Ovis aries: one gene and its partners. The protein of the gene in region 5 interacts with the protein of the main gene of each other region in a pairwise test. Links are inferred from orthologs where the notes say so. Each region holds a gene or a part of one and is shown on either strand. Other genes may lie near its edges.

The links.
Region 1: the proteins of GRN (region 5) and SMAD9 interact in binary tests that used the Homo sapiens proteins (3 or more experiments, as listed by UniProt). The link is inferred for Ovis aries from reciprocal best matches to the Homo sapiens genes GRN and SMAD9.
Region 2: the proteins of GRN (region 5) and FAM131C interact in binary tests that used the Homo sapiens proteins (3 or more experiments, as listed by UniProt). The link is inferred for Ovis aries from reciprocal best matches to the Homo sapiens genes GRN and FAM131C.
Region 3: the proteins of GRN (region 5) and GLRX3 interact in binary tests that used the Homo sapiens proteins (3 or more experiments, as listed by UniProt). The link is inferred for Ovis aries from reciprocal best matches to the Homo sapiens genes GRN and GLRX3.
Region 4: the proteins of GRN (region 5) and C17H22orf39 interact in binary tests that used the Homo sapiens proteins (3 or more experiments, as listed by UniProt). The link is inferred for Ovis aries from reciprocal best matches to the Homo sapiens genes GRN and C22orf39.
Region 6: the proteins of GRN (region 5) and OTX1 interact in binary tests that used the Homo sapiens proteins (3 or more experiments, as listed by UniProt). The two-hybrid records come from large-scale screens. The link is inferred for Ovis aries from reciprocal best matches to the Homo sapiens genes GRN and OTX1.
Region 7: the proteins of GRN (region 5) and NLK interact in binary tests that used the Homo sapiens proteins (3 or more experiments, as listed by UniProt). The two-hybrid records come from large-scale screens. The link is inferred for Ovis aries from reciprocal best matches to the Homo sapiens genes GRN and NLK.

What each region holds. Positions count from the first base shown.
Region 1 is NC_056063.1:25,018,243-25,022,717, reverse strand, and holds the start of SMAD9 (mothers against decapentaplegic homolog 9), read right to left. Parts: upstream 2,843-4,475; 5' UTR 2,729-2,842; intron 1-2,728. UniProt on the Homo sapiens protein: Transcriptional modulator activated by BMP (bone morphogenetic proteins) type 1 receptor kinase. SMAD9 is a receptor-regulated SMAD (R-SMAD).
Region 2 is NC_056055.1:249,709,064-249,713,690, reverse strand, and holds the start of FAM131C (protein FAM131C), read right to left. Parts: upstream 3,114-4,627; 5' UTR 2,998-3,113; coding exon 2,976-2,997; intron 1-2,975.
Region 3 is NC_056075.1:48,924,081-48,927,952, reverse strand, and holds part of GLRX3 (glutaredoxin-3), read right to left. Parts: intron 3,298-3,872; coding exon 3,245-3,297; intron 759-3,244; coding exon 719-758; intron 612-718; coding exon 519-611; intron 1-518. UniProt on the Homo sapiens protein: Together with BOLA2, acts as a cytosolic iron-sulfur (Fe-S) cluster assembly factor that facilitates [2Fe-2S] cluster insertion into a subset of cytosolic proteins.
Region 4 is NC_056070.1:72,728,475-72,732,996, forward strand, and holds C17H22orf39 (UPF0545 protein C22orf39 homolog), read right to left. Parts: upstream 2,821-4,522; 5' UTR 2,807-2,820; coding exon 2,783-2,806; intron 2,680-2,782; coding exon 2,512-2,679; intron 1,759-2,511; coding exon 1,633-1,758; 3' UTR 231-1,632; downstream 1-230. UniProt on the Homo sapiens protein: Negatively regulates long-term potentiation and modulates adult synaptic plasticity. Stabilizes the interaction of RTN4 isoform A/Nogo-A with its receptors, inhibiting clustering of postsynaptic AMPA receptors at synaptic sites.
Region 5 is NC_056064.1:43,892,337-43,894,999, reverse strand, and holds the end of GRN (progranulin), read right to left. Parts: intron 2,456-2,663; coding exon 2,358-2,455; intron 2,267-2,357; coding exon 2,021-2,266; intron 1,785-2,020; coding exon 1,551-1,784; intron 1,449-1,550; coding exon 1,218-1,448; intron 1,128-1,217; coding exon 990-1,127; 3' UTR 657-989; downstream 1-656. Other genes in the region: protein FAM171A2, read left to right, coding at 1-16. UniProt on the Homo sapiens protein: Secreted protein that acts as a key regulator of lysosomal function and as a growth factor involved in inflammation, wound healing and cell proliferation. Regulates protein trafficking to lysosomes, and also the activity of lysosomal enzymes.
Region 6 is NC_056056.1:45,201,462-45,206,130, reverse strand, and holds the start of OTX1 (homeobox protein OTX1), read left to right. Parts: upstream 1-1,820; 5' UTR 1,821-1,929; intron 1,930-2,616; exon of another isoform or gene 2,617-2,695; intron 2,696-3,056; 5' UTR 3,057-3,125; intron 3,126-4,669. UniProt on the Homo sapiens protein: Probably plays a role in the development of the brain and the sense organs. Can bind to the BCD target sequence (BTS): 5'-TCTAATCCC-3'.
Region 7 is NC_056064.1:19,697,379-19,701,250, reverse strand, and holds part of NLK (serine/threonine-protein kinase NLK), read right to left. Parts: intron 717-3,872; coding exon 507-716; intron 1-506. UniProt on the Homo sapiens protein: Serine/threonine-protein kinase that regulates a number of transcription factors with key roles in cell fate determination. Positive effector of the non-canonical Wnt signaling pathway, acting downstream of WNT5A, MAP3K7/TAK1 and HIPK2.

The DNA of each region.
Region 1 (4,475 bases), on a different chromosome or scaffold from region 5:
CTCATACTATTAAATTCACTCACAAATTTAGTTTGCCTTTTTCCCCCTTTTAGAATAACTTTTCAACTCACTGGCAACAGTAACCAAGGAAATATAAATCCAACAGCTTAGAATTACAACTATTTGAAGAGACTCATGCTTTCAATGTACTGTTAAACATTTATAGTTTCATTCCAGACTATTCCCCGCTTCTGAATTTCTCACTAAATGTTAGACGTGATGGGCAGAAAATCTGCACTATGCCTCGTCAGAGCTTTAAAATTCAAGGTAGTATGTTTTCCAAATTTAAGAAAAACCACTTCTTCATTTTCGTTAACTTTTAGCTTTCCTTGTATCGGAGTACATTTTGTGTATAAATATTATTTCCAACATACTTAAGCCAAACATGATGAAATTGCTGTTTTATTTATTGCAGAGGGGATGTCAGATATAAACTAGTTAGTTGCCTAAGTACCATGGTGATCACTTATTAAATACCAACTCTTCAAGTACGGCAAAGGATATTGTGCTCTCATTGAAAAGAATGAAACTGTTTGTAAAACTGAAATTGACTATTTTAATCTTTATGAAATAGTTTCTGGACAGATTTTTTCCCTCCAACTGACCACATGATTAGAAAGGATAAACAGATTTACCAGTTGTTTATTACTTCTAGAATCCTTAGCAATGTTTCATTAACAACAAAAACCTTTCTGTCTCATCCCATGGTCTTGGGCAATCAGAGAGTAGTAGTTGGCATTTATGAATATTTTCTGATTACTCATTAAGTGGAAATATATTAAAAAAGAAGAAAATTTTAAAAGAAGCAAAGTCAAATAGCTCATGCTGACTTTAATAACTAACAAAGATGTGAGAATTGCAAAATGTTTAGAAGTTTAGCCTAAAATTTGTTTGTATCTTTGATTTTTAGCAAACACTGTACTGATAAAAATGAGTTTGCTCAGATCAAGGGTATGTTGGCATTCTCTTAAAACATAGCTTGAAACCACAGAGCCCAAGCAAAAAAACAGCTCTGACAAAGACGGCCAGTCAAGCATAAAAATGGGAGTTGGTTGTGTCAGAATAGATTAACAGGCTGAAGGCTGTCCGCTAAAGACAGTTGTCTTGCCATCAATGAAGGCAATCATTACCACTAAAAGTTACTTTTCTGATATGTTATTTGCAACTTCTATCATAATATATTTTAAACGCTCCTTATTTATAAATGATTACATCATTTTCTTATCTGCAGCGTCCTTCTTGGATAACCACAACTTGAAAGCGGTCCAAAATCTTGCTCATGGTTTCCTACAAACATACGAGCACTTACTAAATTGAACTGTCTATCTGGAGTTAGGGGAATGTGTTTGGGTTTTACTTTTACTTCCTTTTTAAATATAGATCACTATTTCTACAATGTAAACATCCAATGGCATTCCCTCACAGCGACAGGAATCCCAAGGCAGAAGATACGCTGTAGGATTAATTTATCACTCACCCAGAAGGGTGCCTCAAATGCCTGGGTCAGTTATGGCCAAGGAGCTAGCATTATTAAGTGCCTTATGACTTTACAGCTATCCTCTATCATTCCTGTTCAGCAACGCTTCCAAAAGATCATCAGAGAAATCTGGCAAGCCACTGAAAATGGTACTTGTAAACTGGATCCGTTCAAAGCCATCCACAGTGACCTGTGGGTGTGTATCCGACTGTGACTGGGTAAAGAATTTACGTGCAATTTCATTCCCAAACTCGATTTTACCTCATTTGTAGGTTATTTCTCACGAGTACCCAGTTCCCGCCCAGAAACAAGTCAACAGAGTATTTCTAAACCATCATTTCAAATTTCCAGTGTCAAGGGTGGGAGGAGGAAGGAATAGTAACGGGAAGACTTGTCAGCGATTAGCCATCCATAAAAACGCACCCCCCTCTTTCCCAGCACAATGCTGGCGTCACTTCGTCTCCTGTATCTGTTCCCCATCTCGCCCCCCTCCCCTCTGCGGAGACTTGGCACCGAATGGCAGGCGAAGGAAAAAGACAAACACCCCGGCTCCCAACACAATCCAAGCGTTAGCCTAGAGACACTTGAACAACATTCCTAACTTTTTTTTTCCTGCTCATTTCGCCTGCCTCAAAGGTAAGCAGAGTAAAAACGGTATGAGGCAGGGGGCCAGGGAAGGCCAGCTGAGTCACATTCGCTGCCCTGCATGCACCCCGATTTCTCCAGTGTCCTCCCCAAGCCCTCCGGCCACAGCAAACGGTTACTCAGCTGCGAGTCTGGGTCTCCACCGAGCCTGTCCTCGGTGCGGACCCAGCCCCGGGCCGGGGGCGGGAAGGGGTGTCGGGGACGGACGGCTAGCGCGCACCCCTGCCCCCTCGCCGGGCCACAGCCCCGCACGCCGGCGGGCCGAGCCTTCGCTGACAGGTCCCAGGTGCCGGCTGCCCGCGCGGCCGTCTCCCCGGAGCCGTCCCCTCCCGCTCCACCTCAGACAGGCCCCACCAAGGAGGTACAGGGACGGGGAGCACAAAGAGCCCCGGCCACACGCCAGACCCTTCCCTGTGGAAGAAAAACTTCGCTGCACACGCGTCCAGACACGCACACGCCCGGCGCGCGCCGGGGAGGGCATCTCTTACCTGTCCCCGCGCTGCTACTCATCGCCCCCCCCCCCCAATCCACCCACCCATGGAGGTCTGGCCGCCCCCCGCCCCGAGGTGGGTCCCCCGGCCGCCCGCTCGGAGCGGCTGCACTCACTGCCTGACTGCGCGCGCCCAGCGCCTGCAGGGCCCGGCGGCGGCGGCGGCGGGGACCGAGACAGCGGCTGCAGCGGCGGCGGCGGCGGCGGCCCCAGCCGGCGTCAGTCAGACTGGAGCCGCGAAGCCTCATCGCCCGTATTAGTGCGCCGACCTGGAAAGCCGCCAGGAGTCCTGCTCGCGGGTCCGCCCCCGCCCGCCGCCGCCGCGCGCCCGGAGCCGCTCGGGGAGCCCGCCAGGAGGGGGGAGCGCGGCCCGCCCCGCGGCCACGTGCGCGGAAGCCCGCGGCGGGGGCGCCTCGGGGACGCCCGGGCGCGGGGTCTCCCGGGCCCCCGGGCGGCGTCCGGGTCCTCCCGTGAGACCCGACTCCCCTCGTCCGCGGCTCGGCCCCCTCGGCTGGGCGGCGGGGGCACCTCGCGTCTCTCTCCCCGAACGTCCTGCCTCTCCACCTAGAGCCCGAGGCCGGAGGACCGTTTCCAGAACTCGAGGTGTGGAACCGACAAATCGGTTTGGAAACCGCCACCCCCAACAAGTGGCTCTTCCCGACGTGTTTCTGAGTCCCGAGGGTGGCTGTTCCTTGCTGTTTGTCTCTTACTTGCTTTGCAAGAGTAAAGGGGGTCATTACCCCCAACCGACAGCGCCAGAGTAACTGGTTTGCCCCTGCATAAGCGGATGAAAATCGACTCACTCAAGAGTGGTGAGTGGTGGTTAAAACTAGGCATGTAATTTTGTGGGTTGTCGTTTCCTTACCCGTATTTATTTGCTTAACAGCCTAGCCTATAATATATACTGTTATCTAATCTAATAAAGGTACAACCTTTGGGCACTGAGCAACGTTAATGGGTTAATGGACAACCTTCCTTGCTCACGGCCCGGCTATCCCCCCTGGATAGCCTGTCTTTGGAGGTCGCTCTGGGCCCCTCGAACCCGCTCAGAACATGTGTAAGAAATGCCACCAGCTTACTGATGGCCTTTGACCCCCATCAGCCAGCGGTTCTTCATAGAAAAGGCATTTACTGCAGGGATGAAAGAATACTAGAAAAGAAAAGAGAATAAAGCCACAAGGGACAGCATTCAGTTTGCTCCTGTATGTAGGAAAATCAGTCCTCCAGAAGGTCCTGGTAACCTGTGAAGCACAAGGCCGTGGATTGAACTGCCTTTTCTTGTCCTCAGAGCACTGCCCTTTCTTCCTGTGGCAGATGCCATGCTTGCATTATCACACTGTTGTCCACTGAGCAACGACCCTGTGTAAAACAGCATTTGTGTTAACACTTGAATCATCTTTATACACCTGTGCTCCAGGCTAGGTGTTAAGTTTGAGATTGCTCTGGGTGTGAAAGTCCAGGAAACCTTTGGACTGCTACCAATCGCACTTCCTGGGCATTTTATTGCAGGTAAAATAATTAGATCCTCAGAACTGATACCCTGTAGCTTGTGTTTTTTTTTTAATGTTGTTAAGAAATGACCCAGCCACTGTTTCCTTCCCTTAGGTGCATTAGACAATGCAGAGGACTCAAGGCAGAGCAAGAAATGATAACCTCTGCAGTGCTGGCTCTGGCTTCCAGCAGTCTTTATAGGTTCTCTGAGTTCTCTGTGCTCTTGGCAGGCCTTGCTTCTGCAGATTCTTTGAGTGTGTGTAGTCTGTGTTTTCTGTATATTCTCTTTTACATGCCAAGAAATTTTGGCATCCAGAAGTTAGCCTATCACTTATTCCATGCCTATCATGCCTAAGAGAGCAGGTTAATAAT
Region 2 (4,627 bases), on a different chromosome or scaffold from region 5:
CGAAGCAGCTCTGAGGAAAGGCATTTGGTGCCTCCATCTGGGCCCAATCACTTTCCCCACGTCCTCAACCCCTCAGTGTGTCTTTTCCTGCAAGGCTGGATGGTGCTCAAAGCCCCTGTAGCTTCCCCTTTCCCAGCCAAGAGGGTCTGGATTAGCTTCTGCACAGAAGGATACTAACAAAAATTAAAAACTAAAGTGCCAGCTAACACTTAAAGGGCTTGCTACATGCCAGGTAGTGGTCTGAGTGCTCTATAGGAAGTCATTTAATCCCCTCCTAGTATCCCTGGTGGTTCAGCTGGTAAAGAAGCCTCCTGTAATGCAGGAGACCTGGGTTCGATCCCTGGGTTGGGAAGGTCACTGGAGAAGGGAATGGCAACCCACTCCAGTGTTCTTGCCTGGAGAATTCCATAGACTGGAGAGCCTGGCGGGCTACAGTCCATGAGGTCGCAAAGAGCTGGACACGACGGAGCGACTATCACTTTCACTTCCAGTACCCCTAAGACATCCATGGAAGTGCCATTCCCATTTTAGAGATGAGAACACTGAGATACATGCACAGGGTTAAGTAACTTGCCGCGGGGGCAGAGCAGGCCGGCCGGCTCCAGAGTTCGCACTCCTACCCTCTCAGGGCTGGCTCGAGGGGGCTAACTGCTGCCCAGGGCTGGGTGGGGTGGCTCTCCCAGCTGTGGCCCGAAGCCTGGGCTTTGGCTGGGCGGCTGCAGTCGCCTGCAGGCCCTGGGTGGCTGTGGGCAGCAGAAGGATGCGGCTTCGCCCGGCTTCGGGCTGCAAGTTTGGCACGTGGAGTGCGGGGGCTGCTGTGGAGGCTCCCGGGCGTCCCAGGTGGCGCCAGTGGTAAAGAGCCCGCCTGCCAATGCAGGAGACATTAAGAGACGCAGGTTCAATTCCTGGGTTGGAGGAGGGCATGGCTGCTCACTCCAGTGTTCGTGCCTGGAGAATCCCGTGGACAGAGGAGCCTGGAGGGCTACAGCCCATAGGGTTGCACAGAGTCAGACACGACTGAGTGACTCAGCACGTGGAGACTCAGAGGCTCTTGGAATCCAGAGGCCGGGGGCTGGAAGGAGCAGGCCAGGCCAGCCCTGGGTCCAACGGCCGGCTGTGTGGCACAGAGAACAAGGGCACGGGTGCCGAAGCCAGCATGACCGCGTCCAAGGCTCGCTTCTGCTCTTTCTTAACCACGCAGCCCCAGACTGTTTCCCTGCCTGTAAAATGCGGGCTGTGCTAGTACAGACCCCAGACTGGCGAGTGGAGCCTGGAACGTTCCCACCAGCCCCTGGTGAGCCGCGCGCACTCTGGGAGGAGCAGGGACAGCTAGGGGGGCAGGTGGCCTCCACTCAGGGGTTCAGACCCCCCGAGCCAGAGCAATGGGACGATGGGTGTCCTCGGCTCAAGGGGAGCTCACGCTTCCTGTACCTGCATCCAACTTGCCTGCGGGCATGTTGGCACTGGGAGTGGGCAGACCCCGTCAGGAGGGCACAAGGTCAGGATATACAACGAGGAGCCCAAACCACAGCAGGAAGGGCGCAGACCTCCGGGTGCCCCCAGAGGGCACGGCAGAGGGTCCACCAGCTACGGGGGCGTCAGAGGACCCGAGCCCCTGCCCCAGCCCTGACAGCACCGCCCTGGTCTGTGGCTAACGGGCAAGTCTCCTGGGGCCGGGCCTCTGGCGCCTGGCACAGGACGGCCGGGTGCGCAGGAGGGCCAAAGGAAAGGGGACCCCGGGACCCCAATACCAGGGGCCTGCACAGCCTTCCGGGCTTCTGCAGACACACCAAGAGCCTGCTGGCTCTAAAGAAACTTAGGTACTCTCCACTCTACATAGTACCTTCCCCTCTGGCCAGGCTGGAGGCCCAGAGCAGACCCTATGCTGGGCTCACCGGCTCTAGGCACGCAGTGTGTACACAGTGGCTGGCACACAGTAGGGGTCAGGCTGACGTCAGCTTCATGAATGAATGAAAGAACCTCACACAGCCCAGCCCCCACGCACGATCCCACCCTCCTGAGACATCCTGAGCCACTTACCTGAACCCTGGGGGCCTGGTGAGCAGAGCCCCCAGGCAGAGCCCTTTACCCCCCCCCCCAACCCTCATCTCCCAGGGCGGGTCCCCTGGAGCCTGCCTAGCCCCTACCCAGGCCTGGTTACCCCTCCACACCTGAGGAAGGGCTGGGGTGCAGGATGCGGCGGTGGCCCCCCAAGGCTGTGCCTGGGGTCAGTGGGTTTGGCTTCATACCGCAGAGTGGGAGCCAGGGTCTGTCCGCCCTCACCTCAGCCCTGCTGCTCCCGCTGCGGGGTGAAGGGACCCGGCGCAGCCTCCAACACCTGCCCACCCCTTCCCTGCCCACCCCACCGCCCCCCAGAGCGGCTCCCGGGGCTCCCTGCTCCACCCCGGGGACAGCCAGGGGTCAGGCACCAGCAGGCAGCAGAGAGCCGGGCGGAGACACAGGCCGCGGCTTCCCGGGCCGGCCGCCTGTCCCCGCCTGTCCCCGCACCAGGCTGGCGGGGTGAGGCGCCGGCAGGAGGGGCCGGGGTCTTCTTTAGACCCTGTTCCTCCCGCTAACGCCTGCCGCGGGTGTTCAGTCTGAAGACAGGGAGTGGGGTACGCGGACAGCGGTGGGCCCTGTGTCTCGGGCGGGGGGGGGGGGTCGTGGGAACGAGGGTCGGCTTGCGCCGCGAGTGCCCCGAGTCACTCCGGAGAGGCCGGGGGCGCCAGACGCTCCGTGTCCCCCGCCCCAGGCAGGGGTGTGCGGCCGCCGGGAAGGGAGAGACCCGGCTCCCGCCGCCTGCTGGGGTGCAGATGCAGGCGGGGCCCCGCGTCTCCCAGGGCGCCGGTGGGGTGCAGCCGCCGGGAAGGGCGGGTGGGTCCCCCCGCCCCCGCCCAGGCTCCTCGGAGCGGCCGAGGGACTGCGCGCGACCCGGCGCGGGGCCCCTTCCCCCGGCACGGCCCGGGCCCCCTCACCTCGCGACACGCAGGAGCCCATCACGCGGCCACGGGGCCGGGCCGCCGGGCGCTCATGTCTCCGCGGGCGCGGGGCCCACGCGCGGCGCCGGCGCGGACGAGCGGGGAGGGCTCGGGCCCGCGGCTCCCGCCGCCGCCCGGGCGTCCGGCTCGCGCCGCCCGCTAGCCTGGCACCGCCTCGCCGCGGTCAGCGCGGGGGGGCCGAGCCCCGGCGGCCCGCGCACCTGTGGCCGCGCGGCGGGGGCGGCGCTGAGCGCGGAGGCGAAGCTGGCGGCGGGGACCCCGCGGCGCGGGGCGAAGGGCAGGGACGGGCGGCGGGGGCGGGGGGGCTCCAGCATCCGGCCAGCCGGGCGCAGCGCACGGCCGGCGGTGAACCGCTTTGCAGGGAAGAAACGGAGGGGTCACGGGCCTTGCCCAGGGCTCCTGCGAGCCCGTCAGCCCCCCACTGGGGGTCGATGGGCCAGGGCCGGGGATGTAGCCGGTGGGGACGGTGAGCCGGTAGGTAGGTCAGGGTCAGGGCCTGCGGTCCCCTCGGGCGCCTGAGGGCGGGTGACCGGGGCCCCTCTAATCACTCACACTCACCCTCTCACATGCCCACCCGTGAGTGCACGTACGCACAGTTGCACGTGTGAACATATGCTTCACCCACACGCTCACCACCGCACACACCCACATTCACACACACTCGCATTCACACACACCCGCATTCACACACACTCGCATTCACACACACCCGCATTCACACACACATTCACACACACCCGCATTCACACACACTCGCATTCACACACACTCGCATTCACACACACCCGCATTCACACACACTCGCATTCACGCGCAGTCGCATTCACACACACTCGCATTCACACCCGCATTCACACGCACATTCACACGCACCCCATTCACACACACTCACATTCACACGCACCCGCATTCACACACACATTCACACGCACCCGCATTCACACACACATTCACACACACCCGCATTCACACGCACTCGCATTCACACACACCCGCATTCACACGCACTCGCATTCACACCCGCATTCACACGCAGTCGCATTCACACCCGCATTCACACGCACTCGCATTCACACACACCTGCATTCACACGCCGTCGTGCTCAGACACCCCAGCGCCCCAGCCAGCGGCCCAGCACAGCCCTCAGGCACCGAGCGCTCACTTTCGCCTCCTTCCGCCTCGCTCCATCCTGACACCTCCGTGTGTGCCAGGCAGGCTGGATGGCACGGTGCCCCTTTTACAAGTAAGCAAGCCAGGTTCCCTGGTGCCCGCCCAGCAGGGTGCTGACGGATGAAGGCGGCTGGGGTGGCCGTGTGGTGGGGCTTGGGGCCTCCAGCCGGGCAGGATCCAGGCCTGGTGGCTGCCGGTGTGGGGTGGGCTGCTGGGGTGGGCGCTGCTGCCCCTTCTTTCCTCAGGCCTGGCGCCTTCTCCGGAGAAAAGTCCTGGTGGGGAGAGACCCCGGCCAGGGGTGTCCACCGCTGGTGAGAACGTGGGCTCAGCTCACACCCGCTGTGCAACCTGGAACAAGTTGCTTCCCTTCTCTGAGCCTCTCACGGGATAGCTGTAAGGATCCGTGAGATAATCTGTGCAAAGTGACTGAGCCGTAGTAGGTGCTTAGAGCTAAAAAT
Region 3 (3,872 bases), on a different chromosome or scaffold from region 5:
AGTAATATAAATGTAACATGGCAGGAGAACTTCAGAAGCAGATGCAAAACAAATATTTCTGGATGAAAAAACCTAAGATTCACAGACAAGAGGAGCCTGAAGGATACAGAAAGCATATTTAAATACGGACTGTGCAAGGAAATTCAAAGTAGAGACAGGGTGGAAAGAAGCTAAAACATGGAAGAACTTAGTGCCGTGTGAGTGAAGCAGGGGTGGAGCCTGGCCACGCCCAGAGCTGCTCTGAGTGCTGAGTCTCTCTGGGGACCCTGGCTGGCAGCTCCTCAGAACCAGAGCAAAGGACCTAGTGGGCAGGAGAGGCCATACAGAGGGGCTGATTCTGACTGGCTCCGGTGAGAGATAAGAGACAAGATATTCTTGTTGGAGAGATGGTAGCTCTGGGCTGGAGCGATCAGACACGAGGCCAGAAAAGGACACCAAGGACAAGTCCAGTGAAACAATAGTTTTCATCCACGCTCAGGCTTTCATTCCTCCAGGCTCCCAGTGATTCCTGACCTCACCTTAACGATGTCCAGTCCTCCGACAAGCTCCCCCTTCACATACAGCTGAGGGTACGTCGGCCAATTGGAGTAAGCTTTTAATCCTTGCCGAACCTACGGAAACAACAGGAACCCTGAAATCATCCTATCAGATTAGAATAAATGACAATCCTAATGGTTAAAACTAAGACAAAAGACAAAACCTAAAACACAGAACTTACTTCTTCATCCTCCAATATATCAAATGTCTCATATTCAATCCTACAAAAAAGAGAAAACATTTTGACAAGAAATACAGTTTTAGACAAAAATTATAAACTCTATTTGGTGTTTCAGAAACAGTCAAGAAAAGTAAAACTATTTCGATGCTAACAAAATTTGGGGAAAAACAAATTATTTTACTTCTTTATCTGTCTTGTACTTGACAGAATAAGTCATCCCAAAATAGAAATTTTTCTGGATTTTCTGCTTCGGGAGCAAGAGGGGGCAGCCTTGCGGCACCCAGGGATGGAGGCTGCGAGCTCACCAGCGGGGGGCACGCCCTCAGGCAGCTCCCCCGCTGGGAATGAGCCTCCCACAGAGCACGCAGAGCACGTGTGCTTTCCCCACGACGCCTGCAGCCAGCGCGAGGGCTGTGGCTGCATGCCGTGTCATGAGGCTGCTAGTATAAATGAGTGAAAATTCAACCACATCTACGCAGGAGGATTTTATTACAAGGTGGTCAAGGAACGAGTAAGCATGTGTGACTGGATCCCTGCAGGAAGACTGTGAGCGCATGTGCAATTTCAAACCCTGGCCAAAGAAAATGCCACGTATGAAAAAACGAATTTCGTTTTCCATAAAACCAAAGCCATTTTCATAGGGAAATCCTGTTTACTTAATACACAAGCTAAGGTAAGTCACTTCAGTCGTGTCCGAATCTGTGCGACCCCATAGATGGCAGCCCACCAGGGTCCCCCATCCCTGGGATTGTCCAGGAAAGAATACTGGACTGGGTTGCCATTTCCTTCTCCAGTGCATGAAAGTGAAAAGTGAAAGTGAAGTCGCTCAGTCGTGCCCGACTCTTAGCGACCCCATGGACTGCAGCCTACCAGGCTCCTCCATCCATGGGATTTTCCAGGCAAGAGTGCTGGAGTGGGGTGCCACTGCCTTCTCCAACTTAATACACAAGTTCCAAAGAAAACAGTCCATGATGCAAGAAAGAGTCAAAAAAAAGAACTTGACAGGATAAATCAGCAACAAGTATCAAGAATGTAACGTCTGAAAGAAGAGCAAAAAAGATTAAAAAAAGAAAAACAGAACCACACAGTATAAGTCTCCCTTCAAGTTGAACTAAAGAGGCAGATCTCCTAATTGACACAATATGAAAAAAAACACTGAGTTCTGGAACTGCCCCTGATACAAGGGATCCAAGAAGTGCTGGGCCTACATGTTCACAGGTGTGGCGAGTCACAGCTGCCAGAACACCTCCTGAAGTTCCCTGAAAGGGCGCCTCCCACGCCCCAAGGCACATGGGGGTGCTCAGCCCCTCGGGGCAGATGTCTTTCCTCAGAAGGGACAGACAAGAGCAAGGATGGAGGAAAGGAACAGAGCGCTAGAAGCGCCCCCCACATTCCAACAGCTCCAGCAGGACCACAGTCCTCCACGTCAACAGACCCTGGAAGGGTTCAGCCAGCCTGGAGTCGGGAAGGTACTCCGTCCCAAAGAAGCTCCCTGCTCTGGGGGAACTGGTGCTTCCAATCCAATCCAGCTTAGACAGACATGGGACAGAAAGTAAGTGATGGAGACTTTCCACCAAATACTTAGGCTGTAATGGGCCCAGAACTGTCCCATCCTGGTCTCAGAACCCCAGGGGACTAGCTGGCACTAAGGACAGGTGGCCTGAGGGTGACTCACAGGAGATGTGGCAAAGGGAAGAAAGTGACCAGAGCCGCGCCAGCCTCGACTGCAGCCCAAGGCAGCGTGAGGATGGGGCAGCTGGAGGCCGGAGCACAACAGCGACCAGTCTCTCCTCTGTGAAGCATCACAGTCACTTGAACAGAATGGCTGTTCTTCTTTTGTCCCGAAAGCTGCATTTGGGGCTGTGTTACTCCGCCCAGCCCAAGAATGCCCACACACTTCAAAGGTGACTTTTCCTGTCACGTCATAGGAGTCTATCTAAAGCTACAGTTAGAATCCTTACAATACGGAAAAGAGGCAGGTGAGAATAAGGAAGAAAAATAAGCAAAAACATTGGGCAACACAGAACATGTGCTAAGTATCTCTAAATAGGCGGTTTGACCACAATTCCAGTCTTCTTACCTGGCAGCTTCGTCACTGAGATCAAAAGCATGAGCCCCACAATCTGATTTACCCACCTCTCAGACTCAGATAACGGATCTTCCTGTGCTTCCTGTTTCACAAACTATTTGGAAGCTAGAATATTTTTTTAAGAAAATTAAAAATCTATAATACACTTTCCCTAAAATATCTTTATGCATGCTAAGAACTCAGTTATTAGTTTTCCTCTGGGAAAGTAGACAAATAGTTATCTCAATGTCTGCCAAAATACCTCCTTTATGTTACCAATAGGTTGACATTGGTCAAAAAAATTCTACTGTGGTCTACGTTAAAGCATTCATAAAATGCTACAGCAAAAATAAATAGATAAAAATACATGAACAGATATAACAACTGAGAAGAATCAATGTCAGAACAGAAAAGTTAGAATTTCTTAAATACATTCTCTGAAAACAAGATTTACTTACCCAGTACTATTTAGTATTTCCAAAATCTGTCTGCTGAAGCCACACTTAGCTTCCTAATTTAGGGAAAAAACACAAACTTCAGAATGCACTGCATACCGACACAGCCCTGGGCGCGGCCCTGCCTGAGGCTCTGCCGGGGGATGGCACTGCAGAAGAGGGCCGGCCCCCAGGGCCTCCTCGTCGCCCCTTCAAGAAGGACCCATCCAGACGTCCCCCCAGGCGCGCGGCCCCCAGCCTGACTTGGGCTTGTCACCCCCGGAGAGGACTGTGTTCCGACACTGTCACCTCGTGATCAAAAACCTCCCGAGTCAAACCCTGCCACCGCCGCCGCCGCTCCACTTCACGCAGACCCACAGCCGCAACGCCTCCTTTCTTACGTGGTTGAAATCATCCCTCTTCTAGTTCCACTTTTTAAACGTATGTTTACATTACGGAGTACCAAATTTTTATGAGGTTATAGAAAAGTCTAACAGTTTTTTTCATGCCAGAGGATCCCAAATCTCAGTCCTATAGAAAAGACTTGGCACCATGTAAACATCTTACCAGCACTCACAATTCCATTCTCAGAATTCATGATTACTTCCTGGGCTTCCAGGAACAAAATATAAAAATCTGCTTTAAATAACCT
Region 4 (4,522 bases), on a different chromosome or scaffold from region 5:
CCCACCTCAGGGCAGGCATGCCAGGGGCCGTTTCACCTGAGTGAGCACGCAGCTTGTGCACCGGCCTCGTCAGCCTGTGGCTCCTTCTCGGCCTTGCAAGCCTCCAGACTGCTCCTCGGACAGGGCTACACTCAGAGCCTTCCCCACCGCCCCACCCCTCACAGGTGCTTTTCAGGCCTGTAGCTTTCCTCGGTGAGGTTGGATAACCAAGTCAGTAGGTCGTGGCCAACTGTTTTGTCTCAAACTTTTATTTGGAGGTCACGAGAGGCTGACAGGAGGCTGGAGGCTGGCCAGTCTCACCTACACCAGAGAACAACAGCGCTGCCCGAGCGGGGCCCGGCTCCCCGCCGCGCATCCTCGTATCACAGGCTCCCCAGGATGGCGCTCTGACCCTGGCCCCAGAACTGCCAGCGTCCCTGAGACCACGCTGCACCGGGTCACCACCCAAACTGCTCGTCACCATGGCCTCTGTCCCGAGTTTGAAAGACGCTGCCCGTTTCAACCTTCACGGCTGACGCCTGAACGTCCATGTCCGTCCCCTGAACTCAATGGGACGGAGGCGACGTGTCCGTTTTGGGTGTGCGGTCCCAGGGCGTGGACATGCCTGACACAGGCATGTTCCCCTGCACTGGAGGCACGCTCAGCATCCGAGCAGGCGTGGGGCTCCTCATGGTGCCTGCGCCCTGCTGCACGAATCCCGGGAACCAGGGGGTGGCTGCCATTCCCAGCACACAGCCCCCCACGGGGGGTCTCAGACCCGGGAGGACCCAGCCATGCCACCCTCTCCTCGCACAGAAATGCCCGTGGACAGAGCTGCAGCCGCGGCTGATGGGCTCAGCTGTTGCCAGAAGGGGCACCCTGCGCCTTCTTTATGCTCTCCTCTGCTCCGGGGGTCCCGTGCATGCACCCCCACCGCTCATAGCCACAGAGGACTCCTGGGGCACACGGGGGCCCAATAATGAACGTCCTTCTGAGGGGTGGGTTATTCTGCCCCCAAGAACGGGTTCCGTGATGCGGAGCCACGCCTGTGCCCTGGCTGGGGCCCAGGGGGAGGCGCCGAGATGCCGCAGGCTGGGTGAACAGCGCCCAGTGGTGGGTCCGCCGCGCGGCCCCAGAGGCTACACCATTTCAGCAGAAGAAAGAGACCTCTAAAGGAGGGTTCTTGGTTCAAGGGCATGTATTCTAAGAGCATCTACAAAAACGTACAAAATTCTAACCCTGCCTGCATCTAACTTTCAATATGAAAGCCTGGGTGTAATTTGCAGTTTCTATTTGGAATCAAACCTGTGAAATTTCTTCTGATATTATCCACGTTTTCTAAAAACGACTGGGTGAAATTCCGAGGGAAGGAGCAGTGAGTGGCCGTGGCGGGAGAGAACCAAGGTGCGTGGTGGCCACCAGAGCAGGGCCGGTGGGGAGGCCACCTCATTCCCCCCCAAGTGTCCCCACGGGTCAGAGCTGCCCCTGGAGGGTTCGTCTGAGGAGCCTAGCCCTTGGGACAGCCTCCCTGGCTGCCCACAGGGACACTGCATGCTGGGTGGACCGGCTCCAAGCCTGGTGATGACGGCAGGGCAGGCGAGGCTGGAGGCAAGGGCGGAAGCTCCCAGGGGCCCTCTGGACTGTTTGGGTCGGTCACCCGTCCTTGTCCTCAGGCAGAGGGAGGTGCCAGTCTTCTGGGGGGCTCTGCCTGGGCGCCCACACCAGGCCATGCTTCCGTGCAGCCCGAACTCTGGCCCGCTCGCTTTCACACAGGGACCGCTGCAAAGGAGACCGGGTCACGGGCAGCCCTCTGAGATCAAAAGGCATGCATTTGACATTTAGGCAATCAAAACACCCCACATTCCACTAGCACTGCCCAGGTGCTCACTCTCCAAACCCCAGTGATGTTCCGCTGGGCAGAAACCACTCACCGTCATTTTAAATGTGTATCAGGCCATCTGACGTCCTTTCAGGGTGAATCCCTTCTCTATGCCTTTTGTCCACTTCACTGTGAAATCCATTTCTCATACTGATATATAAGAGCTATCTTGACAATCTGTGTATCAGTTATTGATTTCTTGCCACACAGACCCGCCAACTTTCTCTTCCACTGCTCAGGGACTGGGCATTTACACTCGCCAGTCCTGCTGGCACACCCCAAGAGCTCTGCACCCTCACAGCTCCGCTCCACCCTTTGCCCCATCAGCTCCAGGGCACCACTGTATGCCAGACTAGGATGTAGGAGTCAGGAGGGCAGAGATCGGGTTCTAACCTCTCCTGTACGTCCAAGAGCGTCCAGGGGGAAGCGTCTGCTGAACGGATGGACCAAGGGCCCCTCCTGACTGGACTCCCGTGACTGCACCACGCCCTCTCCCAGCCTGGCTGCCAGACTGGCCTTTGAATGATACCAATCAAAGCACACGCGGAGGGCTGGGCCCGAAGCCCCCGTTCCAGGCCCGCCCCCCGCGCCCGGCGCCTCTGGTTCCCGGCCTTCCGGGGCTCGGCGGGCCGGCTCGGGTCACCTGGCCTCACCTGGGCTTCGGCGCTGCGGCGCTGCTCCCACTCGCGGCAGCTGGCCAGGTCGCGCCGCCACTGCCCGCAGGCCGGCCGCTCGCCGTGGACGTAGTAGTGGCGCAGGAAGTGCCCGGCGCTGCGGCAGAGCTCCCACTCCGCGCGGTAGGCCTCGCACGGGCGCGGCGGCTGCGGGGGCGGGCACGGGGGCGTGAGCGGGGACCAGGGGCCCGCCCGCCCGCTCCGACCGGCGGACTCGGCTCCCCGGGCCCCCAGCGCCCACGGAGCTTACCCGCCAGCCTTCACCTTCCGCCATGTTCCGGAACCGCCGGGCCCGCCTCCTGAGGCCGCCGCCGCCGCGTGACTGACGGGCAGAGGGACCAATGAGCGCCGAGGCTTTGCCAGTAGCTCCTCGCCCACCTCCTTGAGATGCGCCAGTGAACGGGACATCCGGGCTGGCAGCCAATAACAGCCTGGGGGCGGGGCCCGACACTCGAGGGGGGCGGGGCCGAGCCCGGCGTGGGCGGGGCAGTCTCTGCCCGCGGCTTTCTCTTCGTCGCCTCGCAGTTCCGGTCGCTGAAATAGATCAGCGCCCCCGGGCTCCAGCGCCGCGCGGTCAAGCCTGCGGCTGCGGCTGTCCCGCCCGTGTCCCCTCCCGAGGGCGTGCAGGCAGGAAGCGGGGCGGAGTGGGGCGGAGGCCGTGCGGCCCGGGGAGCCAGCCGGCCCTGCGGGTGGGCGTCCCGAGGCGGCGTCGGGGGTGAGGCTGTGCTGAGGCGGGGGCCGGGGAACCAGGCGCGTCCGTGAAGGGCGCGCACGAGGCAATGACAGCGACGGCAAGGAGGCTGACGGCGCCTCAGGACTAGCCTGCGACCCCTCCGCGGTGCTCCTCCGCCTCCCCCAGCCTAGCCACCGCCAGTTACCCGCCGGGTGAGTCTGCGTCAGGGCGGAGAGCTGCAGTCTCACCAAGGCGTCCTGCCGTGGTGGTTCACAGGCCAGGCTGCCCACCAAAGAGGGCGTCTGCGTCTGCCAGCGAGCCGAGACCCCTGGAGGGTCCGGCAGGTCACAGCCTGCTCAAGACTTCCGAAACCACTTGCATTGCCTGGGTGTGGCTTTGGGTCACAGGGCCCAACCCTGATTATCACGATGAACTCTAATGCTCCTTCTCTGAGGACACGTGGGTGAACCCTGGGACCACTCTCCCGCGGGGGACAGTCTCCTGAGAGTTGAGGGAAGCCTGTGGAGATGGGCCTCTTTGCCTGGAGCAGAGGCAAGGGGGGCCCCTGCTGGGCCCAGGGTCGGAGAAGCCCGCAGAGGACCTTTCCAGCAGGTGTCAGCCGCATGCTGGTACCTAATCAGACGCGTAGAGGCAATTCAGGTTTTGGTCACTGCCTGTTTTTCATTTGAAATTCATAATCGAAAATTATTTTCAAGGAACAAGAGATTCAAATAATTGAACTGACATGTCAAAGGAGCTCTTATTATATAAAGTGGAGACCTGAAATTAAATTAACACTAATTTTTAAAAAAAAAGGCCAGCAGAACTTTGGAAAATTTAATACATTTAAAACTGGGAGTGGGAGGTAGGGAGAACATATCTTCAGGTTTCATTTATTTTAACACTTACATTTGTGCTTCATCACGAAGCTCTTTTTACAAAACAGACTAAAGAACCAGTTCTGTCCAAATTAAATCAAAGTAAACGCAGAAGTCAAGAAATACCTGGAGTAACAGGCAAACTTGGCCTCGGAATACAGAATGAAGCAGGGCAAAGGCTAATAGAGTTTTGCCAAGAGGACGCACTGGTCATAGTAAACACCCTCTTCCAACAACACAGGAGAAGACTCTACACATGGACATCACCAGATGGTCAACACCAAAATCAGATCGATTATATTCTTTGCAGCCAAAGATAGAGAAGCTCTATACAGTCAGCAAAAAACAAGACCGGGAGCTGACTGTGGCTCAGATCATGAGCTCCTTATGGCCAAATTCAAACTTAAATTGAAGAAAGTAGGGAAAACCACTGGACCAT
Region 5 (2,663 bases):
GTTCAACGTCAAGTAGTGCCCGGCCTGGCGCCGCCTCCGGGCCGGCCCCCGCCCCCTCCGCCCGGGCCCGCCCCCAGGGTGCGCGCTCCGGGGGGCCGCGGGGGCCCTCGCCCTTAGCCCCCAGCCCCGCCTGGAAAGGGGCCCGGGGCCCTGCGGAGCTGTCCGGTGGTATGTGCTGGGTAATGTCTTGGGAGGGACCCGTGTCTGCCTCCGAGAGGGAGGTGAGGGAGGGGGGACCAGAACCTCGATGGGAGGTGCTGGGGAGGAGGGCAGGGTGGGGGGAAGCAGTGCCTGTATAAACGTGGCTGTACATAGAAAGCTCTATCGTGGGAAAGCAGGAGGGGCAACGAGGCCTCAGCTGCTAGCCTGAGGGCCGGGAAGGGAGGGGGCGTTCTAGCGGACCCCTGGGAGGGTAGGGGGTGCTGCTTGCTGACTAGCCCACCTCTGGGCTGCGATGTCACAGGGCTGGAGGCTGGGGCGGCTCCGGGGACTAGGGAGTAATGTGATGGGATCACTGTGGGCAACAGCAAATATAAAACTGGTGAGATGAGCTGCTGTGTGTCTTTCTGTGGGGGTTGGGGAATGTGGCCACTGGATGGGGACCCTGGCTCAGGGGCCCCTGGGGAGGGCAGGCAGAGTGGCCAAATCAGACACTGTTAAGAAAGTGTACAAACTTTATTGCAGCACACATACGCACGCGCTCACACACACACGCACACACACCTGTGGATAGGAAGAGCACCTGGCCACAGGGTTGACAGAAATTGGGGGAGGGGATGGCAGCTTGAAACGTGGCTTTTGCCACAGCCCCCCTCACCTTGGCATAGGGGAGGCCTTAGATTGAGGCCCCACCTCCCAGGGTGATGGGGGACTCAGAAGGGGGTCTGGGAGAATGTGGTGGGGGAGAGGTGCTGGGGAGGCCTGAGCAGTGGGGACCCTCTGAGCAGGGTCCTGAGGGCCGCCAAGTGTCTTCAGTCCTCAGGCCCTCCTCACAGCAGCTGTCTTGGTGTCGGGTCCCTCCAAGGAGCGTCCCAGCGCAGGGCCTCCCGATGGAAGCACTTGGTCCCCTTGGCTCCGCAGCGGAAGCCACTGGGACAGCAGTGACGCCTGTCCCCACAACAGGTGCCCTTGATGGTCAGAGTAGGGGGCGAGAGTTGGACGTGGCAGGACCTGGCCCAGGCCTTTACCCAGCCCCTGGGTTGGGGGGTGGCACTGACCTGGCGGTAGGGGCAGCAGGCCCAGCCCCCTTGGCTGTCTGGGCAGCAGGTCTGGTTATCGTGGCAGAAGTGCCCCGCCCCACATTCCACGTTCCCCGCGCCCACAAGAGGGCCGCTGGCCAGGCGGAGGGCAGGGTGTGCAGGGTCCACCTCCTTCTCACAGGATCGGGCCTTCACATTGCAGGTATAGCCAGCCGGGCAGCAGTGCTGGCGGTCCTCACAGCACACGGCCTATGGAACACAAAAGGGCCTCGCACTCTCACCCCCACTAACGTCCCCTCCCACCTGAGACGGGGCCCCGCCCTGACCAGGACTGGGCAGGTGGGTACTCACGTGTGGCAACTGACAGCAGGCCCAGGCCCCCCTCAGACTCGGGCAGCAGGTCTGCCCCACCGGGCAGCTGGTGTGCTGGTCACAGCCCATGTCTCTGGGGTGGGACGGGGAGGCCCTGCGGGCAGGCACCTTGTCCAGTCCGGTCACCACCTGCTTCCCCCTCTTACAGTGCCCTCCAGCCACACACGCATAGCCCTTCGGGCAGCAGTGCTGGTGGTCCAAGCAGCAGACAGCCTGGGGAGGTGGCAGAAAAGGGTGGTTTAGGCAGCTACTCTGGGCCAGAGCGCTGAGCCCCTGCAGCCCCCAGCCTGCCTCTCCTGCTCGGCTCCTCGAGCTGGGCATGACTGTGACTGAGCTGGGGTCCCCCGTGGGCTGGGCAGAAGGCAGAAGAGCAAGGCAACAGGAGCCTGGCCATGTGCCCAGGCCAGGACACTGCCCCCCTCCCCTAAATCATCCTCCTCCCCAGGCACCTCTGGGGCAGGACAGCAGCCCCACTCCCCAGACGTGAGTCGACAGCAGGTAGTGGAGGAAGGACAGCTGGTGACGTTATCACAGGGGACATCCCCCTCCACGGCTCCGGGGTCCGGCAGGCTGACGTGGGCTGGGGCTTTCTCCATCCACGGCACCCGGCGGGTCCCCTGTTGACACACACCCTTCTCTGTGTCACACCTAAACCCGGACGGGCAGCAGTGCACGTGGTCCTCACAGCACACGGCCTAGGGTGGCGGGAGAGGGGACAGTGGGCCTGAGGGGACTGGCTGGCGGCTGCCCTCTGCTCAGCGCAGTCCACTCCCCATTCCTCGGTACCTGCACAAAAGGGCAGCAGCCCCAGGCCCCGGACTGTAGGCGGCAGCAAGTGTAGTCGTCTGGGCAGCTCACCTCCATGTCGCACTTGACATCCTGCACTGTGAGACAGGTGAGGCAGTGGGTCAGCAGTGGCACTGGGGACCCTCAGGGGTGCCCTCCCTCTGCCAGCTCCACAGCGAGAACCAGATACGTAGGAGGGAAGGTATGGCTCAGGCCACCCCTGGCAGTGATCCTAAGGCAAGGCCCAGTGTGGACGGAAGGGGACTGTCCCTGCTTCAGTCCCTCCAGGCATGCGGCCGTCTGTCC
Region 6 (4,669 bases), on a different chromosome or scaffold from region 5:
TGCCTAGCGACGTGCTGCCCGAGTCCTTTCCGCCGCATACAAGAAACTTTCATCTCAATCTCCCCCTCTTCACTCTCCTCCCTCTCCCCTCTCCTCTCTCTTTTTCTTCTCTTAATCCCGGGGTTTTACGGGTTGAGCATTAAGAAAATTCGCCTGCAATTTGGGATTAGATAAATACTCTCATTAGGAGGGGGGGGAATTGTGCTACTTGATACCTCCCAACTTCCCCCAGATCGCGGCCGCATCTGGAACCGAGAGAGCCTGGCTCCCGCGTGGAGGGCCCTGGGGACCGCCAGAGCACATTCCAGCGCGCACAGCCGCCCCACCTTGCCGGACCTCGGCCCAGCGCCGCCGCTGCAGGCGCAAGGGGGCCGGGAGGAGGCGGGAGGACGAGGGTTTGGGAGACCCGGCACGCACCGAGGCCGGAGAGGGCTAACTCAGGCACACAGCGCGCAGGCCCCGGCCGGGATAGCGCCGGGATAGAGGCGCGGAGGCGCAGAAGCTCAGGGGAGTGCGCCCAGCGTGCCGGCCAACTCTTCCCGACAAACTAGTGCGCTCCAGTCAGCGCTTTTCCCCAGAACCGAAGGCGGGGGCTATATTTCGTTTCTAGCTTTAAATCTCTGCGCATCTCGGGGGCTCGGAGCCCAGGGCCTCGCGAACTATTCCCCCGCGGGGGCCTGCGCGAGCCTAATATGTGTCCCCACTCGAGTCAGCGCTGCGCTCTGCGCAGTTTCTTTTCCTGTTAAGGCTTTATCTTGTTCGTGTTTTTCCTTTTCTCTCATTCTTTTATTGTTTTCGCTCTCTCTTTCTCTTGCTTTTGTGAATGGGCCGCGGTGTCTTTGTTCTGGAGAGAAGCGCCCGTGTCGCTGACTTTTGTGAACCAGAGAAGGATCTTGTAAAACCTTTTCTCCTTCATACTCCCCCCCCACACCCCTCCTCTTTTGCCCCTTTGATTAGATGTTCCCTCATCGTCAAAAAAAAAAAAATGTAATTTCGTTAGTCTGGCGGCCACTTTCTTTGAACATTAGCTCGCTTTCAGCTCCAACTTCAATTAGAAGGAGTTGATTTTGAGAGATCAACAAAAGAACCGACCAAAGCCTTATTAAAGGTCCTAAGAAGATCTCCCGGGTTCTTTGAGAAGCAGTTAAGGAAACAGTGTGCCCTCCATCATATTCTGTTACCGTATTTTATTCGGACTCCAAAGGAAAGTGTCGCTTGGGGGAGGGGAAGCACTTTGATGAGCGGCGGCCGCGGCCCCTTTTCACTCAGCGGGCTCCCCCGTCCTTCTCCGCCACCTCCTCGCCCCGCGCCCGGTGCGTTCTCGGTGCCCTACCCCGCGGCCCCGCAGCGCCGGTGCTCCCCACTGCGAAGCGCCCGGCGGCTCCTAGACTCGCCCTCACACTTACTCTGGTTCAAACTTTTCACTCCGCCTGTTGAGGTGGAGGGGAGGGGGCGGGGGGGAGATTAAGAAGAAGCGGTAGGAATTCCTCGAAAGGGGGTAAGTAAAGTCGGCCTAATATTCAGGAGGAGGTGCCATTTAAAAGAATTGCATTACTCAGCGTTGGGGCGCAAACACTTTTTTTGCGCTTTGAAAAGTCCACCCAGGTAGACGTGTTTTGAGAAGTTTGTTCGACTGGGAAATGGGCTTCGCCAGTACGAACTATCCGGGGAGATCGCTCAAGGAGGCTCCGGCGGCATGAAGGAAGGAAACTGAGGGCAGAGTCTGTGGCCACGTTTTCCACTAGATTGTCCCCTAGTAAAAGGAGCCAGTGTGAAAGACAAAGTTTTCTATCCAAACCTTTTGATTCAGAAGTACAGTGTATGTGTAAAGGGGAGGGGACGCTGGGAGCCGACATTTCAAAAGAAGCTTTCAGGATTTGCAAACACCTATCGTGGGGACTGGAAACTCCAGGAGACGTCGAAGAGCAGGTAAGTGGCCGTGCCTCCCTTGCGGGTGCGGCTCAAGGGCACTGGAGTCCTGAGGCGCCGAGGCGGGATCTGCGCGCTCGGGTCTGCTCCCGCTCTCAGCAAAGTAGCCCGGACCAGCACGAGTTGCCCGCCGCGTGCGTCTGCGGGTGATGGCCCGGTGCATGAAGACTCTGGGGCCCGCGGATGGCCCGGTGCATGAAGACTCTGGGGCCCGCGGCGTCGGGAGAGGGGCCGGAGGCCGGTTCCCCTCCAGCCCGCAGCTCCCGGCTCCTCGCGCCCATCGGGTGGCGTGCCAGAGAGCGAGGGAACCGGTTCTCCAGCACCTCGCCTCCTCTCTGCCACTCCCTCCAGGGCGCCAAAAGGGCGAGAGAAGGGCGGGGAGCCCCGGGGCAACCTCAGGGCCAGCGTTTCCCTCCGCGGCCCGGGCTCCCGCGCGGCGCTCGCCTTGCTCGTCTTGCTCTGCGCTGCGTTTGCCAGTCTAGCCCCGGAGTTAGCGCGCGACCGGGGCGGGGCGGGCGGGCGGTGAGGGCGGGGTGCAGGGGGCGGGGGAGGGCGGGGGAGCGCGGAGGTAACCCCCGGCTCGTGCTGCCATTGCCCGGCTCCCTGTCACTCAGCCCGCGCGGGGCCGGGGATTGGCAGCCTAGCCCCGTTACGCACTCACCTCGCGTTCACATACCCGGGGAGGGCAGTAGAAAGGTGATCAATCTTCATCAGGCTACATTTCCAATCACCTAAACAACCCGGCGAGACAAGCCACTCCGACAAGGTAACTCGCTTGATTTATTTAGTTTGCAAAGTGCCTCTGCAGGACTTCCCCAGCCCCCACCGCCTCCACGCTGCACGGAGTGCCACGGCAACCTCGAGCCACCTCCCAGCTCTGCCCCTCTTACCCCCACCTTCTCCTTGCGGCCCCCTCGGTGCGGTCCCGGGTGAGGCACTGTGTCGGGAGCGTGTGGGGCTTTGCAAACAAAGTGTCTGTGCAATAAAGTGAAACCTGGAAGGACACGCACAAAGCCACTAGAAAGAAAGAGAAAGGGAGGAGGGAAGTTGGGGAAAGAAAGAAATCCCGCGGCTCCCTGACCCCCCGCCCGGGCCCGCGGTAATTCCTGTGCCGCTCTGTTTTGCAGGTTGGCCGTCCAGAGGGTCTGTGTGAGGGCGAGAGGTAGATGGTGAGCGGCCCCGGCAGCTGAGGGCAGGTAAGGAGAAAGCCGCTGGCCGCCCGGGACTCTGGGAACGCGTCGTGGCTCTTGCCCCCCGCCCCCCTCAAATGGGTCCCCGCTTCCCCGGTCCCTGGCATGTGGGGGGCGGGGCTGGGAAGCCACCTGGCTCCCCTCTTGCTGAGCGGAGGACCCCGGAGCTCCGCGGCGGCCCCGCACCCCTCCCCCGCCTCCTCCGAAGTAACCCAGCTAAAGTGCTAAGTTTGAAGAAAGTCTTTGAAAACTCACCATTGCAGTCTAGCAGAGTCGCCACAGCTGAGTCCCATTCTCCCTTGGCCCCGGCTCTTTCCCTTTTGTCGCCTTCCCTGCAAACCGAGTTTTCCCGGCCCAGGCCGTGGGTCCCTGGGGAGAGAAGCGGGAGACTTCTCTAGCTCTAACTTCTTTCTTTCCCTGAACTCTTCTAGCCCGGGTCCCAGGTCTGCTTTAAGTTCCTGTGAAGCGGGCTAAAGCGACAGGTCCTCTGGGGTCTCCGTCCCACTCTTCCAGCGCTACTTCCTGACTCCTGATTGTAGCACCTCCGTTTGGGGGGCAACCTGGGGAAGCCAGGCGTCGACCTTCCTGCCCGGGGCAGCGCGAACTACGCCGCAGAGGCCTAGTTCTCTAGTCTGGATCGGGTCCTCGGGCTCTGGTTCAGCTAGTAGAATAATCCGGAAGCGCACCAGACCTATTGCACTGAGGCTTCCCAAATCCGCCAGACCCTTGGGGCGCTGGTCAGGTCACCTTTCGACCCCGGCCGGGACCCCATTGTCCGCAGCCAGGACTGGCTTGCTCTGGGGAAGCACGGCCTGCGGCTGTGGCGAGGTGCGGGTGATCCCGGGCGGCGTGTTTGAACCGCCACCTGTACGGTGGCGCCTTCTGGTCGCCTCGGCCGGACCTGGGCTCGAATCGGTGGTAGAAGTGTGGGTGGGATTCCGGGTAAGCAATCTCTCAGCGGCCAGGCACAGAGAGGTAAACTGGTAGAGCGGCTGTGGGACCCAGCCGCGGAGACTCTGGAAGGATGTACTCAGTGAGCAATGCGTCCCGGAGAGGCCCAGGTGCCGCGAGCCCTCCGCTGTGCCTCACCTTGGCTCTCTGGAGTCTACCTGTCCGTTCCACTTTCAAAAACATTTGAAACAAAACGAAACAACCCCTCATGCTCTGGGTCTCCTGCTGCCTTGAGGTCGAGGGGATGTTTGCTTGTGTGGTGTGATGCCCTCTCCCACCCGAACAGATTTTTGCCTAGTCTTGGGACCTAGCGCACTCTGCGTTTTGGGCTCTGACCTCCCAAGGTTGCCCCCGATTTTAACCTCTCCTCACTCCTAGCGTCGCCCTACGAGTGTCTGTCCCATTCCAAGCCCGAAAAGAAGTGATAATGATCCAGAAATTTTACTTTTCAAAGAATCTGTGGTCTTCGGGCTAAGGCCTTATAGAGCCGAGTTCTGCACAGATCCATAGCCTGCGTCACCTCCCCATCCTGTGACTCCTTCCTCCGGCAAGACCAGGAAGCAGTGGTGGCTTGGAATGACAGTTTCGGTGTGTCATTT
Region 7 (3,872 bases), about 24 Mb from region 5:
GGCAGACAGTTAAAGTACCACAAATGGTTTCCAACATTTTAATCAGCTTCTGATATTCTCTGCCATATTTAAATAATTTAGTCCAATAAAGGTTGGAAAGGGTTCTAAATGTTCACATTTAAAGAAGTCAACACTCAAAATTTATATTCTAAGCACAAAGTGTAAGTACATTAAGTCACCAAATACATTTTCAAGTCAGATCCATTCAGTTAGAAAGAACAGAGGCTCTTGAACCACTGAAGATTACACCTGTGCAAACTGTTACAGCGGAGTCTGCTGCCATGCATCAGTGCGTGTAATAAAGCCAACATTCCCTCTAATAGGCTCGTAAGCTGCAAAATCAATCTCTCTGTAATCTTCCTAACTTTTTGAATTTTAAGAGAACTTGAATTTGCTAAAAGCAATGTAGACAGTACAGTGAATAAGCCCAAGGTGTGCACAAGATGGTCTTTCCTTTAAATCTGTAATAGAATGGAAAGTTCCTAAAGCCTAGAGTGAAATCATACCTGCTGAATGGGACTCTGTGCCTGAAACAGTATTCTTCGTCCTAGTAGTTCTGCAAAGATACATCCGACAGACCAGATGTCAATAGCATTGCTGTAATGGCGGCTGCCCATCAGGATTTCTGGAGCCCGATAATACTGAGTAACAACTTCCTGAGTCATATGACGGGATTCATCTAATTCTTCCACTCTGGCCAATCCAAAATCACAAATCTAAACAGAAGAGATTATCAAAATGTTGTCAAATAGACAAATATATTTACAAGTGGAATAGTAGAACAAAATAATAAAAAACTAAAACCTTGACAGACCTCTGAACTTTGCAAAGTTTTCAATGATACAGGTGGAGTACATTGTGTCAGTATATTTTGATATTATTTGGATGAGAGGGAAGAAAGTCTCAAACTTCCTTATTTCTATACAGAATTATCTTAAAGACAAGCTTTTCACTTTCATTTGTTTTTAACTGGTAATTAATGAAACAAACAAAAAGCAGTTGAATGTATACTTTTAGGTTTAATGAAGAAACCAAGCTAATTTATTTTCAAGGCTGCTTATGGAGGAAGATATTATAAGGGAAGAAAACGACCTCCTGAGCTAACTATGTTCACTATTTTTTTGTTTGTTTTTGGCTGCACTGCATGGCTCGTGGGATCTTTGCTCCCTGATCAGAGATGAACCCCAGGCCTTGGCAGTGAAGCCATCAAGCCCCAGCCACTTACACCACCAGGGAATTCCCATATGTTCACTATCTTTATGGAATATACACAGTAAAATTTCTTCAAAGCTATGGGTTTCAGAGTCCTGCTGAATCCTGAGGTACTTCAGGAGTTCCATGAACATTTTACCTAAATTTCATATGAATCTATAAATATTTAAAATATTAATCCACATTCCAATATGTGAATTTGTCAAAAAGTAGCACACTGTAGAATACTAATGCTAACAGGTCCCTTCAATTCTTCATGCCATAAACATTTAATTAACTGAATGCCTATTATATTTTACGCAGTATGCTAGAACATGACGGTAAATGAGAAAGACTGGTTAATTCACCTACAAACCTAGGAATGAATCTTATGCTTTCTGTTTATTTTTGGCTGTGCTGGGTCTCTGCTGCATCACACAGGCTTTTTTCTCTCCTCTAGTTATAGCTCATGGGCTTGGTTCCCCTGCAGCACGTGGTATCTTAGTTCCGGGACCAGGGACCAGGGATCGAAGCCATGCCTGCATTGGCAGGCAGATTCTTAACCACTGGACCACCAGCGAAGTCTTGCCCTTTCTGTTTAAGTGAAAAGTTTTTGGAGGCTGCAAGGTGAGCTGTTAGTAAACGGCAGCAGTGCCACCACCAGCAAATTTTGCTTATTTTCAGGAATTGAGGCTTTCTTGATACTAGGCAACCAAAACAGAAACTGGGAGCACTGAGGAACAGATAAGAGAGGAATGACCATCTAAGCTCCAGTGTTCTCACTGATTAAGTCTGAGTCAATATTATTAATATAACTGACAAAATAATACTTATCTGCCTTCTAAGTTGAGGTCCTAACATATTTTATTTGAAAAAAGGATCTCGTAGCTTAAAAAAGCAATGGAAAACTACTGCTTTAAAGAAAACATATTTTACCCCTAATTTTTGGCAATCTTATCTTTTTATCTTGAATCTACTATGTCTGGTCACATCAAATGAATGCATGTCTGTATGTGGGGACAAATCAGAATGAAACCAACATCTTTGAAACTTAAAATGAAAGTACATTTTCCGACCACACAGAAAAACTATACCAAAAAGGAAAACAGGCATATGTTGTTTATCAAATCCTCCCAAAGACCAGTGTTCAAATAACACATAATATTTTAAAACTCTATTACTTGACCAAAAATTTTTAGGCTATCTTTTAAAACAAAACAAAGAAAACTAAAAATCCACTTTATTTCTCTGGTATTAAACCAAAAGAAAACACCACCTTAACCAACAGAAAATGTTTTCTCTTATAAAGCAGGCCTTTTGTTTAAAAAAAAAAAAAAAAAAAAGATCTGGATTCATTTTTTGGCAATTTATCTGGAAGACACGCTAAATCCAAAGTAAGAAGCTTACATGATCAGGTAACTAAAGATATTGCAATTTCCAGCAAAATTATCTGCTTTGTGCCTAACAGTAAACAAAATGATTTTTAAAAATGTTTTGTCATAATTATTTTCTACAAATTTTTACATTTGAGAAGAGAGAATTAGCATCAGTAGATTGGCAATCTACTCTGGCTTTTAAAAGTAGGCTGCTAAGACAAGTTAAAGGAGCAGAGCAAAATTTCAATTTGTTCTGATCTGTATGTTGTTTATTCATAAATGACATTTTCTTTGTTACTCTCTCATGTAGGTGGAGGTTACAATACCATGAAAGACAATTTAGAAAATGGACTGCAAGTAGTTAACGGCATCAAGCATGACAGGCTCTACACAAATGCTTTGTGAAGTTTTCCAACCAGAAACTGAAATAAGCAGAAACTGGTTTAAACTGTCATATAAGTGACTTGGTCTGCATAAGTCAAAGAATTTCTGACTCTAAGGTTTTTGATTATTTTTAAAAAAGAATTAAAATGGGTTATGGAGATAAGCTCTGAAGATGTTTATCACACTGTGTTTTAATAGCTTGCCACTACTCTATTTATTTATTTTTGGCTGTGCGGGGACTTCGTTGCTGTGTGGGCTTTTCTCTAGTTGAGGTGACCAGGGGCTACTCTCTAGCTGTGGTGCATGGGTTTCATTACGTTGGTTTCTCTTGTTGCAGAGCACGGGCTCTAGGGTGTGTGGGGTTTAGCAGTTGCGGCACATGGGCTCAGAAGTTGTGGCTCCGGGGCTCTAGAGTATAGGCTCAACAGTTGTGGCATACGGTCTGAGTTGCTCCATCGCACGTGGGATCTTCCCAGAGCAGGGATCAAACCCGTGTCTTCTGCATTGGCAGGTGGATTCTTTACCACTGAGCCACCCGGGAAGCCTGATCACAACTCTTTTTATTTATTTATTTTTTAATTAATTTATTGGGCTGTAGTCGGTCTTAGCTGTGGCAAATGGAATCTAGTTTCCTGACTACAGATTGAACCTGGGCCCCCTGCACTGAAAGTTCAGTCTTAGCCACTGGACCACCAGGGAAGTCTCACAGTGAAAAGCAGTGAACTCAATGACCTATAAAAGGAAAATTTACTTTGGTAGTTTTTACTTAATGGTTTTTGGGACAATTAATTATCTGTGGAAACAAAAAGAATTAAGTATAATATTAGATGTTTTCAAGGAAAATATGAAAAATAGGTGTTTTTAATCTTTCTAGACTTAAAACAGGATCAGAGTTCTTTACATATAGAGTGAAGGGAGTTT